2 linked regions of the Lepisosteus oculatus genome follow. The protein of the gene in region 1 purifies or fractionates together with the protein of each later gene. This does not show direct contact. Links are inferred from orthologs where the notes say so. Each region holds a gene or a part of one and is shown on either strand. Other genes may lie near its edges.

The links.
Region 2: the proteins of arhgap12b (region 1) and asap1b purify together in Homo sapiens (co-immunoprecipitation; 3 studies listed by BioGRID and IntAct, with this or other methods). This does not show direct contact. The link is inferred for Lepisosteus oculatus from reciprocal best matches to the Homo sapiens genes ARHGAP12 and ASAP1.

What each region holds. Positions count from the first base shown.
Region 1 is NC_090701.1:39,396,176-39,404,067, reverse strand, and holds the start of arhgap12b (rho GTPase-activating protein 12b), read right to left. Parts: upstream 3,095-7,892; 5' UTR 2,873-3,094; intron 2,111-2,872; exon of another isoform or gene 1,265-2,110; intron 1-1,264. UniProt on the Homo sapiens protein: GTPase activator for the Rho-type GTPases by converting them to an inactive GDP-bound state.
Region 2 is NC_090701.1:21,623,701-21,631,548, forward strand, and holds the start of asap1b (arf-GAP with SH3 domain, ANK repeat and PH domain-containing protein 1), read right to left. Parts: upstream 3,045-7,848; 5' UTR 2,756-3,044; intron 2,692-2,755; exon of another isoform or gene 2,628-2,691; intron 2,289-2,627; 5' UTR 2,261-2,288; coding exon 2,202-2,260; intron 1,415-2,201; exon of another isoform or gene 1,400-1,414; coding exon of another isoform or gene 1,374-1,399; intron 1,092-1,373; exon of another isoform or gene 808-1,091; intron 465-807; coding exon 338-464; intron 1-337. UniProt on the Homo sapiens protein: Possesses phosphatidylinositol 4,5-bisphosphate-dependent GTPase-activating protein activity for ARF1 (ADP ribosylation factor 1) and ARF5 and a lesser activity towards ARF6.

The DNA.
Region 1 (7,892 bases):
AGATGAATTTGGTTATCTACTATGTGCTCCTTCCAATGAATCGAGAAAGAGTACTCATGAATTTGATCAGATTGTGAAAATGGCAGGAAAAACAATGGGCCCAGATCAGCAATTTACTCGATAATAGAGTTCTTAGAATGGCAAGGCAACATCACAGCTGAATCCAAGTACCCACTCCATTTTCAATTTGTAAGGCACCCACCAGGGAGAACTACAGGATACCAAATTCAAATACAAACATGTATAAGATGTCCCTTGTCTCCTCTGCAGTAAAACTGCTCTCTAAATGTATGTAAATGTAGTCCCCCGACTACCAATTTATCCATCCCTTTATTGATGCAGTACAGACGGCTTTTGTGATTACATGTACTTTATGTGACTTTCACGTTAAACGCGTGTGTTTTGCACTTTTTTTTGCACAAAGACAAATTTACACAGTCGTGGACAATAAAGTATCTAGTAATAGGTTTATTCCATGCTGAAAAGAGAAGAAAACACAACGTTTCGGCCGTAGAGCCTTCTCTTTTCAGCGTGGAATAAACCTATTACTTGTTCCTTTGCAGCCTACGCATGCTGATGCAGCTACCCACCTGAATAAAGTATCTATCAGACCACAGTCACCCAACCACTGCCAAACAAAAGCTGTAAAAGATTGAAGGTGGCGTAATCTGTCATCTGCAGTGAATAAGATGACCTTGCTCAGAAACTGCACTAAAAATACAGCATTTTCACCTTCAAGCCAGATTCATGTCCCACGCATCCTATCTCAACACTGAATGGCCTACTTTTGCCGGATTTAGATCAGACGTGCCCAGGTGTATTCTTTTCTCCTGTTGAATTTTACTCCGACACTCCCCGCCAGAGTCTCCAAACTCGCTGGCCAACCGGCCGCTGCTTTCACGAAACGGCATCCTTGCAAAAAAACTTTAAAGGGAACAGGGCTTTGCGCCGCATAGTGCGAAAGTTGGAGGGGGAGGGACAGAGCAACCTCTTCCTGAAATGAGACAGGTAGGAAGAGTGAACGCCTTTTAAAGGCCAGGAAAGAAAATATCCTTCAAAACAGCTCGACTACCGGTGAACAAAACAAAAGACCAACACCCAACATGAAGGGTTTTATAACCACGTTCTTTAAAAAAAAAAATCCGAAACACGACGACCGGCAAAACGAATTCTTTAGTGAAACGCGGGTTTGTAAAGAAAATCGTCCTCACGGCTGAAATGGGCGGGAGGGAGGAAGGGCATTTGTCGGTGGCTTCTTACCTACCTACACCTCGGGCTTGTAGGGACGTGTCGCCAGCCGACTCAGCACTCGCGTCCGGCTCCCTGGAATGTCTCCCGGCTGCTCGCACCGGGGGCACCGACTGGCCCAGACAGAGCAGCGCAGCGCCCCGGCACCGGAGCCGCGTCCCGCATCAGGCAGATCCCCGGCGGGGCTGCGCGGCAGCTGCCGCCGGGCGCGGGGCTCTTGCTGGCGGGCTTAAAGAGAGCACCGTCCGGGGCTGCTCGGCTTCCGATGGACACAACTCCTCGCGTAGTCGCAGTAAAACGCGGTACTCGGCCGGTTCACGACAGCCCGCTGCGTCCAAGACGGTACCGCAGGAGTCCGGCTGCACACGCACACGCACACACGGGGAGCTCGACGGATTTACTCCCCACCAGGCTGACCTTACTGTACTTCAGCTCTTCGCAATACCAGACTGAGACAAGTCAGAATGCCACAGCAGTTACGGCGGTGTTGCCTTTGTGAGATAAAAATCTAATCTCCACCTCTCTCCTCAGGAGCGACGAGTTTGTGTATCCAGCCTTAAACCCACAACGCGCTGAAACCACAGAAATCTTAGTCGTAGTCACGACGTATGTATCAGTTTATTTCCTAAAGCAGGCGAAAACAGGTGGTTTGCGCTTTTTAAGAAAATCCTTGCTTTTAGAAACCCGACATCTCGACTTAAGTAGAACAACAATGCAGTTTAGGTTGGTGGCTGTGGCTACTACATCAAACGACGGCAAAACCACACACAACCAGAGGACCCAATTCGCTTATCTGCTCCCCATCCGCTGCTCTGCGTGAAAGTACTCCCTCCCCAAACGGGCCAGTGTGGAGGGGGGCGTCTTTGGGGCCCACCGAGTTGTAAACCACGTTTGTGAACCCTTAACAAGATCGGAGCATGCTCGCGTCTCCCGGGGCATTCCTTAAATAACGTGGCGTTGTACCTGAAAGACCATATCCTGCCCCCGCGATTTAATCGGATCTGCAAATGAACACATTCGGCACCGCTCGCTCGGTTCCCGATTTGTTTTTCACCAAAACATACAATAAAACAAGTTTTTTTGCCCTCCTTGGAAATCTCCCCCCCCCCTCCGTTGAAACTGCTCCTACAACATGCAGCGTTTACGCCGCCTTACCAAACACGGTTTCCTTGCGATCTCCATTAGATACGCGGTCCCACAAGTGTCACTTTGATACAGATGCTTAATAAATACGGAAAGGCCATGAGGTCCTAGCTGCTAGGAGGTGAAAGAAACGCACCGCACTTGAATCAAAACCGCAAGGCACGGCTTTCTAATGAGATTAGTCAACTCCGCGCTGTAGCACTTGAAACAGTAAAAACACCGAGACAAAAGGGAGACAAACACCCCACACTAAATACAAACTACACGTGTAGGTGCCCATAATGGTCAGCAAATTGCCGTGGTGACCGTCCTAAGGCGTTTTTTTTCCAGCCGGATCTGCCAGACAGAACAGGTTCTTTTTCATTTCGGCAGAGAAACATGGGGGCTCAAGTATCGTGTCCCGTAGCGAGTTTCAGTAGCCGCTACCGACCCTCAGTCACTTTGGTTCGCCCCGGCAAACAACAACGCATCTTTTACTAACCTGCTACTTTTCTTTCCGCCCCTCGGCGTCCCCGGTTCTCAAAGCCCAGCGGTCCCTGTCAGTAAATAAACTTCTCTCTTTCCGCCCGGTTTCCTAGTCCGCAGTCCGCACAGGTCGCAGGCGCGCCGCGCGTCTTCCCCGGCAGGAGCGCCCTCTCCCTCCGCCCCGTTTCCACTCGCCTGACGCGCACACGCTCCGCTCGCTCCCGCCTCGCCGGCCGCCCAGCTCCGCCGCCGGACGGTATCGCTTCGCCCTGCAGCTTGAGTTACCTTAATGGCTGGTGCACGGGGCAGGCTGTCCTGGGGACTGGCACCATCTTGTGGTTTGTCTGAATTACATTAAACGCTGGACGGCTCGATGTAGTTGGGTTTTTTTTTTTATTTGCTGACCTCTCCTTGGTGAACGTATGTCAAAATATGTGGTGAGCCGATACATATGCCAGTGGCATATTTGCCTTCCCACGGCAAAATAGGTATTTGTTTTTTTTTAAAACGGGAAAATAAGTTATGAAACTGGAAAAGTTTTGTTTTCCCCAGCCTTCTGAAGGTTTTAATGCAACTTACGCAACAAGACTTTTTTTAATGATAAGCTACACCGTTTTCAACGTACAACGCAGTCAGGCACGTCTACAGTTAAATTGGACTGTTAGCACCAACGAAAGCATTTTCAGTACCTTCACGGATCGGGGCTGTCCAGTCCCTGTCTTGAGGGCTTTAGTGTCTGCTGTTCATGTAGGTGTCTTTAAGGGCCCGATGAGCTGGGAAGCGCTGGTAATGAAGAGCTGAGCCGAAATTAAAAACTGCACGTTCTCATGACCCGGACTGGACAGCCCTGACCTGTCAATGGGAGGATACCAGTCCACTGCAGAGCGTGCCCACAAGGCTCAGTTTACCTCCTAGACAACATGTCTTCCTACACTCATTCAAAACCCCTACGGAACTGCAGGTGTCTCTGATTTCTGCTCTTCTTTATGAATGTACTGCATGGGTAGGAGACGATGAGCTTGCTTTGATTACTTTAAAAGGGTATTGTTTAAATAATATTAAAAATAAGGGGCACTCGTTTATCGTACTGTTTGAAACGATGCATTATACGGAAATACCGTACAGTGAGAGAGACTGCCATCTTCCGAGTCCACACGCATTTTCGGGTGACATTTCTTTTGAGATGCAGTGAAAGAGCGCGTCGCCTTCCGCCACATTCTCCAAAATTCTGCTCGGGAATAGTTGAGGCTTCTCGACCTGAACCATCGACGCAAATAGTTGCAGTTCTGTCAAGGGAAAATGTTAATAAATCCAAACAAATTCAAGAGACCTTCTTTCAGAAGTCTTTGGATTCCCTGCCAGCCGTGCTTAGAGGAGACAGATGGCTGGTGCTGCCGAGACTGGATAATAGATCCATATTATTGCCTCGATTATGTGGTCTCTGGCACATTTTTTAGTTTTTTTCAATGGATTATGCAGACAGCAAACTGTCCCAGTGGTCTGTATGACACAGAAAGCAGTATAGAACAGAACCCCTCCAAAAGCTGTAATGACCAATTTAGCTTTTTAAAAAAATACTAGGAGAACCTTACTATATAACTCTTAAACATCTGACTTTGGAGAATACATTTAGTTAATTTTGGAGGTCAATTGTATTATGCCAAGATTTTAAAATGTGTTCCACTAATTGTGCAATTAAAGAGATGTAAATCACAAATTGTCATTAAGATGCCTTTTGTGGACAAGAAAACAAAATTGTTATTGCTTTTAAATTATATTTTTAAAGGAAACTCAATATGCATTCAGGTGTACTTTTTCCCAATGTAATTATTGAAAGCATTTTTAATTGGAGTCAAATGAAAAGAAATCTAGTCTAAGTCAATTGGAGCAGAATGGTATGCAAATGACCTGTTGACACCTCTTATTTTTATTAGTGCCTTTAAAAACCAATAACTGTCCAAATGAACTCTCATGATTTCAGATGAAATCATTTTTTTATCCCACCTTGTAAAGATTGTTTCATTAATTTATAATGAAACAGTAGCAAGTAAATGTGCGACTAAGCTTAAACGTCATTAGTGTGCAGTTGTTGTGATACAAGGCCTTGACAAAGTTAACCCAATGGGTTTATTCAGGATCAAAACATGAACCAGAACATGCAATTGAAAACCAGGGGAAAACACATTCCACACTGAGAACAGGAGGCACTTATTTAGCGAGATTTAGACACCAGCCTTTCAATAACTGTCAGCCAATAGCTACCTTAGTATTATTGGCAAATGTTCTACAGCAGGCTGTCGCAGTTCAGTGAAAATCTCACGCATCTGCACGTGAGCTGTTTGGTAAGCCTGGCTTTAGGTCAATGCGTAGTAAAGAAGCAGCTTATTAGCGATACTCGTGAACTGCTGATGAGCGTTGCTTCTTTTTTTGTGTGTTCGTGTTCCGGACCTTAGTTCCCACGGCCGGCAGAGGAATCCTACTCTGTTGGGCTCATAAGCAAGGCCCTGAACCCCAACTGCTCCAGGGGTGCTGTATATAAATGGCTGACCCTGCCCTCTGACCCCAAGCTTCTCCCCCTGTCTGTGTGTCTCATGGAGAGCAAGTTGGGGTATGCGAAAAGAAATCCCTAATGCAAGAAATAGTATATAGCATGCCACCTGTTCTTGGTCCACTACAGTAAACGGTCTTTATTACACTATGTGTCCCTGTAATCTCGGCTGGTCACGCACCTTTTAAGCACAAAAAGCACATTCGTACAAAAAATATTTCCCTGTCATTTTATAATAATGTATGGAAATTAATAATTTTATACTAGGGATCTGGGTCCTGCCACATTGTACGCTTCTGAAAGGTCAGCAAATACATATTTTCAATTTTGACTTCCCTTTACTGTATAAAGTAATACGTACTTGATTAATCTAGCCAAATATATATAGACCATAGTACATTAGATAGTAATCACAAACTATGTGTGGTTTAACTTAAAAGTGACTTTGGGTAAAGCTAAGCATTGCATTTCTCAAGATCATCAGCACAAGCAAATTTAATTTACTTTTTAAAAAACATGCTGTTGAGTTTAAATGGTGCATGGGTATAGTGGGTACAATCATCCAATAAGTTACCATTGGGTCAGATTCTTCATAGGTATGGAATCATCTGTCATTCTCAGCTGATGACCCCCAGATGTTACAATAAAATGTTATTCAAGCACTGTATGATATTTGTTGCTTAGATACTGTTAAAAACACATGCGACAAAATCTTTCATGTCTGGGCTCTTACAAGACTGGATTTATGATGATTGACTTTCCTTATCAACTCCACAAATGTGTCAGGCTTCGTTAAACTATTGATGGTCTTGGAATCTGTCGAAGTATGGTACGGAGGCCAGGAAACGTAGTGTCATTTTTGACTTGAGCTTTACATTTTAAGTACAATGCTGAATATGTGTATTTGTCTTTGGAATACTGAACATATCACAACTGAAGATGACTCCACAGCCGAAACATTGTGTCTCTTTTCGTCTCTTTTTGGCACGGAATAAAACCTTTACTAGTTCCTTTGAACACATCAATGCACGTCTCTCCCAATTCAATGCTAACAGAGAATGCTAATGCGTGCTTTTGACTTTTCAAGGCTTGATTGTTGGAATGCAGTACTTGCTGGTGTATCAAATCATGTTCTGAGCAAGTTGCAGCACGTTCACAACTCCACTGCTCGGATCCCAATCCAAACGAAAATCCACGGTCATGTGTCATCTGTTTCCACTTCCTCCCACAGGCTCCCTGCGGATTTCAGAATAAAATTCAAAGAACTGCCGTGCAGCGTTAAGGGCAGGTTGGCTCCTGAAAACATCACTGGACTTTTAACTCTCTGTTATATTCCATGTTTGCTTTCTGTGGACTCTGGCCTCCCTTGGGTTCCTAAAGTGAACTTCCACACACTGGTTGATGGACTTTGGAAGGATCTCCTGGCCTGTATGAGGTCTTGCACTTTTAAGTCCCATGTTGAAGCTCACTTTTATACTCTAGTTTGTAATTCTACTTAATTTACTTGGATATTATAGTACAGCGCCAAAAAACATTGTTTAAGAAAAAACTGGATGAAAACCTTGGATCCATTTGCTACTTCAAACCACCAAGCACAGGATGGACTGAATTGTCTCCTTTCACTTTTTTTCTGTCACTTTTTTAAACTCGGTTTTCAATTTTGCTGGAGATTCTATTGATGAGCAGACAGGTTGAAACCAACACTGGTCAGAGGAAAACATGATCAAAAAGTATGGCCCACATAGCTATTTTAGGTGTACTGAATTTGGCGTTTAGATTTCTTTCAGTAAGCTAAAGTGTTTGGATATCATAACAGTGTGTAAAAAGTATTGTTTCCAGTGGTCCTTGTTAAAAGCGTTATGAAATGTACTATTCACACTGTTAAATTGTTCAGATTGTGGCATCATTTTTGAAGGTACAAACCTCACATCATTGACTTACGTCGTACAAGTGAAGCAGCTGGCATACAAAAATCACACCTTGAAACTCCCTCAATGAACTATTCAAAGGCGATCCCGTCATTTCCCGCTCCAAACCACGTTTTCAGATGTTTCGTCATAAAGGGTGTGGCCGACAGCATGTCATGGGCGAAATCCACCGAACGCATCAATTTGAATCTCTGCCTTCGTAATACATTGATCTGATTGTGCTGAGGCTTGATCAGAAATGAATCTATGAATTGGCTTCATTACTCTGCTCTCCTCCCCACTGATAGCTGGTGTGTGCTGTGAGTGTTCTGGCACACTAGGGCTGCTGTCGCATCATCCATGTGGGGCTGCACACTGGTGGTGGTGGAGGGGAGTCCCCATTACCTGTAAAGCGCTTTGAGTGGAGTGTCCAGAAAAGCGCTATATAAGTGTAAGCAATTATTATTAATTATTGATGCTACACAACAGCGTTTTTTTTTCCTTGAAGACGGCACAATCAGACGAGAGAAAGAGCTCCACCTTCTGGATTCTAAAATATTGCATGTTTGCAGTAGCAGCTT
Region 2 (7,848 bases), about 18 Mb from region 1:
TGTCCAAATACAATGTTACGTGCCTGAATTGTTAGTAACAATTGTTTATAAACAAGGGTCTCAAGCAGTTGCACTGAAATGCATCGGTTTGTGAGCATTAAAAAGCAAGCAGATCTATGGTGCTGGTGTTTGGCATTCATTTTCTGGGGGGAAATGATCGCAACCGTGCATTGCAATTTACGTATATGAAAATACTGTTCTGTAGGTACCGTTTTAAAATGGCACGCTTTCATCAGTTAAGTATATAGCGACTGCCAGTGTAGCTTGCACCACTCATTTTTAACGAATCGTATTATTTGGAAGCCCCGCCGCCCAGCGATGTGATTCTCTCCCCTACCTCTTCCAGCACGTTGACGGTATTCCGGCAGCTCTGCAGGCGGGTGGTAAAGCTGGACGTGGTCGGGGAATTATAATCCTCCGTAGTCTCCGAGAGAAACTCGGACACCGAAATCTGATCCGGCATCCTTCAGCAAGGAAACGCGAAAAGGGGATATGGGGGGAAAAAACGGAAAACCTAAATCATTAAAGAGCAAACTTGCCAAGGAGAGGAAATGTGTGTCTTTTTACTACAATATCAGAAACAAAAAAGCTGCAAAAATAAGAACAGATGCCTTGTTTGAAATTATGCAATTAGCCGATTTCAGTCCCCTTGGTTACAGGGGATTCCAAGTAATTTCCCCCTTCTCCCCTCCAGTCTTTTCCGTAACCTCTGCTTCTATTGCAACACTGTCCACAACAGTTTTAATTATTTTCTTTGCTTCCACCAACACAAGCTGTAAATCGGAGCATAACAGATGTCCTCATTACGTTTTCCGCAAATGTAGGTGTTTGCGCCTGCAATTCCACTTATTGGGTAGATCCAGCAGCTGTAACGGTCTGTTTTGAGATTTTCTTTTCCCCCTTTTCTCTTCCCACTATTTTTTTTTCTTCCTGACGATCTCTGCTCTCTGACACTCACTCACTCACACACACATACATACACGCACTCTTTCTCTCTCTCTCTTCCTTTCACCCACCCACCGCGAACCTCAGGGACAAACAAGGAAGAACTCTGCGCATGCCTAAATATCACAAACAATACAGCCGCCCTGAAAAGCTAGACATCTGTAGCCGTCCAGGCCAGAACCGGTCCTTAGAATTGCACGCATTTTCAAAATGCTTTGAATCCCGTCTTCGTCGTTGAAATCTCCATTGCATACTACGATGCAAATTTAGTGATGGCCCTGCGTTGTTTACAGTACAAAAAAATAAATTGAAAAAGGACAATAAGGGTGGAGCATGCCCCCTTCAAAAAGCACAGGCTACCGCTACGACGTTATATTTCTAACCGTACTAGCCCAGAAGGTGCTTTATCTCCGACTACTAAAACCCACCCGCCTTCGCTTTCGTTCGGGCTCATCGTTGAGAAACACGCCAGGGTCTAACCCTCTGCTGTGCAGAAAAACCGCAGTGCCCCATATATCCCTACAAGTAATACTGATTTATTGCTATTTTTGGAGGCCCGCATGGGGGATTATACATTTACAGTATTATACTATGGTAATGCATTGCATTCCGTGAGCATTAAGTGTTGCATTAAAATAAAACAATTTAATATGGGAATTATCACGTTGTGTCGTAACATACTGTTTCTCTTACAAAGTGTAATTTCCTTTCAACTTCACATTTAAGCATTTTTTTTCCAAACAGACAAGGGTGGTGACAAACAAATTCTACGGATAAAGCAGCGCAGGCGAACAGTTAAACACGAGTTACTAAGTATCCCTGTGTGTCTACTTCTGTCGACGTAACACTTTTCATTCTGTGATATCGTGCCCCGACCCTCTGTCAAACTCGGTGGGCGCAATGATGCACTAGCGCAGCCTACAGGCGATCTGTAGCAGAGAATGTGCAACAACTGTAATTGAGCAGCTGAAGTGTTAAAGCCACGGTTCCAACGATCTGTTGAAAATATACCATTGCTGAAAAATATTGAGTCAAATTTACAAATACTCTGTTACGGTCTGTTACAGCGTGCACTCTGATTTAATTAACTTGAGCTCACGGCCTGTGCACCTTTAGCATTTTAAATGTGTTATGCCGGGCTTTCGAGTATAAGTTGTTTCAATTCGCAAAAGGCGAAAGAAAAATAAGCACAAAAAAAGACATTAACCAGAATGTAAGCAAAATGTGTGCAATAAATTATGTTAATCCTCTCTTACCGGTTCCATAGAGAATCTTTTGATGAAAAACTCGATAATCGGGATGATGAGGACCGCATGACTTTACAGTCACCTTAACAAAATTACCTGAATAAAATAAACGAAAGTCACTTGAGATACCATTAAATATATGCTTTTTGTTCTCATATACGCACAACGAACACTGAAAACTGCCCAACAGTTTTAATAATCGTCTGGAAATAGTTAAATCCTAAAAAAAGTTCTATTAATTAAAAAATATATTTAGAATATAATTTGTTAAGCATATGTACTATCATGATCAGAATAACTGTTAGCCAAATACGTCTTAATGCCCATCACACAAAGGGAGGGACAGTAGCAGAGATAACGGTAATAATGTTCACATGGCGATATGATAATGAACAAGGCAAGAAAAAAACAGGGCGTTAAAAAAGGCTCTAGTACCTCAGCAAAAAAGTTTTCGGTGGGCACGTTCCCATCTAAACGAGATGACCACAATGCATCTAGATGTATGGAAAATAAATATTTGAACAATGTAACAACAGCCACGCCTAATTTAATCACTAACTTACCAAGACTGCTGCAATTCCAATCACAACCCTTACTTTGTACGGCAAATCGAAAGCCAGTAGTTCCTGCAAAGAAGACAAAATATCTCCAAATGCCATCATATTTCGTTCATTTTGTACATGTAACTTAATCCAGCGACAGGAAAGATTGTATCCATTTACTGCAGAAAGGGTTCGAATAAAGAGCAGCGATTTGTCTTCATGTGGGTCCCGAGAATAGATCAGCAGCCACGCAGGGGCAGGAAGGAAAATCTACCATGTGAGCATGGTTACATGGCCAGTTACAATGGACAGGATCTGGGAGCTAACAGCACAGGAACTCAGGAAATCCAAAACTCTTCAACAGGAAATCTGAGATCCCTGTAAACACACTCTATGGAGTGATGCAGTATTTCCTCGGCGTTTATTGGCATTTAGCTCCGGTTTAAATGTTAAGATGTCGGAGTATTGGAACATTATCCGGGAATTTTAAATAAATCAGGCTACTCACTGTGTGCGTTTTGTACGCATATTTTGTAGTCATTTCGGAAAACGACTGTAAAAAACGTCAAAATGTAATAATTATCGTGAGGAGTATTAATATTACTCGAGTGTCATACAGTATAAGCTCATAAAATGTTTTGTGAAGATGCACGTAAAAGACCCATCAGTAAAAAAAAAGGCAACATAGTATTTCAAAAACTAAATTAAATATGTGTTTTATAATCTTGTAAAAAACGCATTTGTATTATCCCGTTTTCTGTGAAATCTTAATGGCTGGTTTCAGATGCATTTTGTCCGGATTGGATATTTCTGTTTTTTAGCGATTGCTACTTCTGGGTACCCCAATGCCATGGGAAGGTGTTCAAGGTTCTTCCGCTTCACCACCCACATCGGATGCCATTGTCACAGCTTGGCTTCAAAGTGGGTGTGAATAGGGTCTAGCTCGACGGATTTTCCTTGGTGTCACTGAACGTGCCTTCTGCCTCTGCACATGTGGAACATAGCCCGTGACTGCTTGTACCAGTTTAATGGTTTCAGGACTTCCGACCTTTTACCAAGCTAGGTAAATGTACAGTAGGAACACCGCCTGGCCTCTGGTCTGTCTTTCTTTTACCCCAACACTTTAAAACGTGAAAATGAAACATGGACATGAAATGTTATTCTTACAGGTACTGTACGTGCAGTAGAGCATACTGTATCTGTCATGAACAGACTTTCATAGTTCAGGTTTATTTGAAGACGATTGAGCAGGGAGCTACATCAACACGCATAGGCTGCAAAGGAACAGGCAAAGATTAATCCCATGCTGAAAGGTAAAGAAAAGCCGCTCAACGTTTCGACTGTGGAGCCTTCTCCAGGTGTGAGGAAGAGTGGGGAAGTAGCAAATAAATAAGGAATAGGAGAACAAAAGAACGGAGTACGTGAGAAGGGGCAGGGAACAGTGAGGAAATCGGCATAAAGCAGGTGATTTGGGATTTGTATTGCTCTTCACAACACAGAGCTTTATGGGATGCATTCGCCATTCACCAGTACTCTCTGTACTTTCCATTTCCTTTAATGACCTCCTGCACATGTTGGCATGACAGGAATATCCTTAAGGACACGTTATCAGTGCGTGGCCTTTATGTAGCCAGAGATCCTCCTGTTGTTTGTCAGTTGAAGCTTACATAACCTCATAACCTAGCCATTGAGAAGCACAAAGCAAGTCTAATGCATGTTTTGCAAGGTTAAACTTATTCTATGTAACAGATTTGATAAGGCTGTGAATGAAATCGCTTTTGTTGAACATATAATTAAATCAGAAGCACCTTAAGAGCTGGAAATTGTTGCTAATAGTTCCAATTAATACAATAATTAGTTCAATTGTTTCCTTATAAGCTGACCTTATAACCTCCAGATACAGCAGCTTTTTTTTGGTCTGGACATGGATACCCCAAGTCTACTTGTTTGTAGGACCTAACGCAAAGCTTTTAAATCAGAGAGGTTTTGTAATGCTAAAAATAGAGGAAATAATTAGAATATTTTTACTGTTCATCCATACAATATCAATAAGCCACATACAAGCACATAGACAATTTAGATGTTTTGTCTAAATTAACCTGGCCATTATTTCTTCGTAAGGTCAGAAGAAACCCCACCAAAAACCTACATGATCAAAAGGAGAACATCCTAACTCCACACAGAAGGTGACCCGGTCAAGAATCGAACCCAGGATGTGAGAGCTTTGAGGCAGAAGTGTTAATCATCACTGTGATTAAATTGTTATAAAATCTATCTTCAAAATTTTTTTTAGAAATACATTCACCCTGTCACCCCAAAATAATTTCCATTTCAATATTACTGAAAGAAACAATTTTATAATTATAAAAAATAAACAATAATGTTTTCAGGTGTGTAATTCCACAAGCCTGTATACAGTACTCTATGATACATCTCTAGATGTTTCATTAATCAACAACTACAGAAATAAAGCAAATTCAGAAGCATGATATATTATGTTTTTTCCTTTTATTGTTAAGGATAATACTTATTAGTATTTTGCACGAGTATTTGCTGTTTTGCTCAACGGAAACTATCATGATATCCTGCACAATTTATTATATCCTGCCCAGACTGGCTGAAATACAGCCAATAATATCATTACACTGTAAGTGTATTTACTTATTCTGACTGATTGAAAATCTTATAGCCGTGAAAGTAAAGGAGACAAGCAAGAAATAATGCACCTATACTCATTGTATAATTTTTGTAACATAAATGTTTTGAAAGGACAACTTTTCCTGATTGTGAAAGTCTGTATGTTTGAAATCCTTTTTCTGTACAGCAGCATAGTTGAATTAGTCACCATTATGTTGTAGATTGGCTAATTAATCCCCCAGATATTAGACAAATTTCAAGTATGCCCACACCCTTCAATCAGGTAGTGAAACTCCTATCTACAGACATAGCACTAATGCCTGTCACATCCGTAAATGTGTACAAGCTGGCCATCTTCAGCTTATCCCAGGTTCCTGAATATCTTACTCAGCATTTCTGTACCACACCATACATTGATAAAGGGTTTCAGACAGACAAAAGACAGATTCAGCAATTCTGTGGAATTTTGTTACACTTCCTAGTCACAACTGTTAGATCTTCGAATGAAATATCTTTTTTAAACATGTTGTACAGCAGATTGTTTCACTTAAACATTTACTGTGATCAAGTTTCTACTTTGAAGACAGATATTGGAAGATAATAGCGATATTTTTTCTTCCGAACTTTTGAAACTGCACAGACAGACAGATTAGCAAGTTCATACTAGTCAGATTTACCAGAATAGACAAACCATTGAATGTGTGACCAGAACTGTGTCAACCAGGATGGTAGGCTGGCCTGCACGCTCAGAAACCCTTTTGAACGTCGCCTTTTGAACTACTGAATCTATCAAATTGGACTTTACAGGTTTCATCAACATCCAAAGCTTTTTATCATTTGTAACTAAGATGTTGTTACAGTACTTTTTTATGCCTGCAAGAAATCACACACTATTTTGAAAAACATGACCCATCATGCAAACTACTCTTGCTCAAAATCTGTTTGGGCAATTAACTCTAAATTGTACATCTCTAGCTTCAACAGGATGAATGTATAAACCATAATGCCAGTCTGACTATCTTTTTCTTTGTACTCATGCTAATGCTGTTTAAAAACCTCTTGGGCAATTAAATCTGAGAGTGGTAAGTGCCATTCTAGTGAGAATACCATTAACAGTTGACTGTTACTGTCATCCTTGGATATACTGTACCACATACCATACACAAGTACCATTTTGTTCTTGAAACTCTGTGTCTGTTTTGTGAACTGCTACACTGATTGGATTAAAACCTGGTAGATTTCATGAGCATCAAAAGCCGCGTCTGTCATGCATAGCTGTGATATGTTCTCAAAATTCAAATTGTCATAATTTAAGGAGCCATTACACACTGATTGACTTGAAACAGCAGGTTTCATCACACCTAGATATTGCTTCCTAATTGTGCCTCATTGATTGTAATGGTACTTTATATACACCGCACATGTAATCAAGCGATTTGCAAAATACACCCCAAAACATTATTTATTCTTTGCCAAATCTGTTTGGTTTGGTCATTTAACTCCAACTTTTAAATATACAGAAGCAACAATGCAATTATAGTATAATGAAACAGGATTTCTGTACTACCCAGGTGACAGCCTGACTGCCATTTTTGTTTTCTTGTTAATACACATCCTATACTACAAACTGCTCCTTTGAAAAAACTGTTAAACTACTTAACTGCAAACTTAGCAGTTAGTATCAAAAGTATCATTCCAGTGGCAATCTGATGGACATTTGTCAAAGTGGGGCTCCTGAATCACTATTATTATCAAGCTTCGAACTACTGCTGTTGAAAAAGCACTCTTAAAGTATGCTTCAGGTTTATCACCCTAAAACCGGGTTCAGACTTGCTTCTCACATGTTGTAGGTAAGGGACGCTTTTCACATCCACAGCAGACAGCGGGCATCCAAACCTGACAGTGTTATTTTAATTTCCCTCTGGGTTTTCTCCCAGTTCACTCACACTTTTAAAGTTAGTCAATAAGGATTCGCCTGGAAGCTTTCAAAAATGCTTAACATTTTCTAGATTTATGTATGCAATCACCAATTATTATTTTTATACTGTTCCAGTTAGGCATAGCCTAACTTTACCAGTTCAGGCATCACAACATTCCTGGATGGGTAAAGACCAAGCTTTTAAAATGGCACCAATTCATTGGCACCTACTGTAGTAGACCCACAGCCATCCAGGGTAGCTGGACACTTCAAGAGAGAAATGTTGCAGTTTTCAGTAGCAACATTACAGGGCCCCAAGCAGTCAGGCATGTATCAAGGCCAGGTCAAAACCACACAATCCTGGCAATTGCATGATTTTGCATGGGGATTCCTAGTCATGGAATTGTCCAGATGTACACATTCATAATATATATGCAATATACATACTGTATGTGTTCTACCAAAAAGATGACATTGATATTTTCAGGAATAACCCAGATTTTAATGTACTGCTTAAAAAGACTTAAACATTTTTTGGAACTTATCAGATGTTATTATC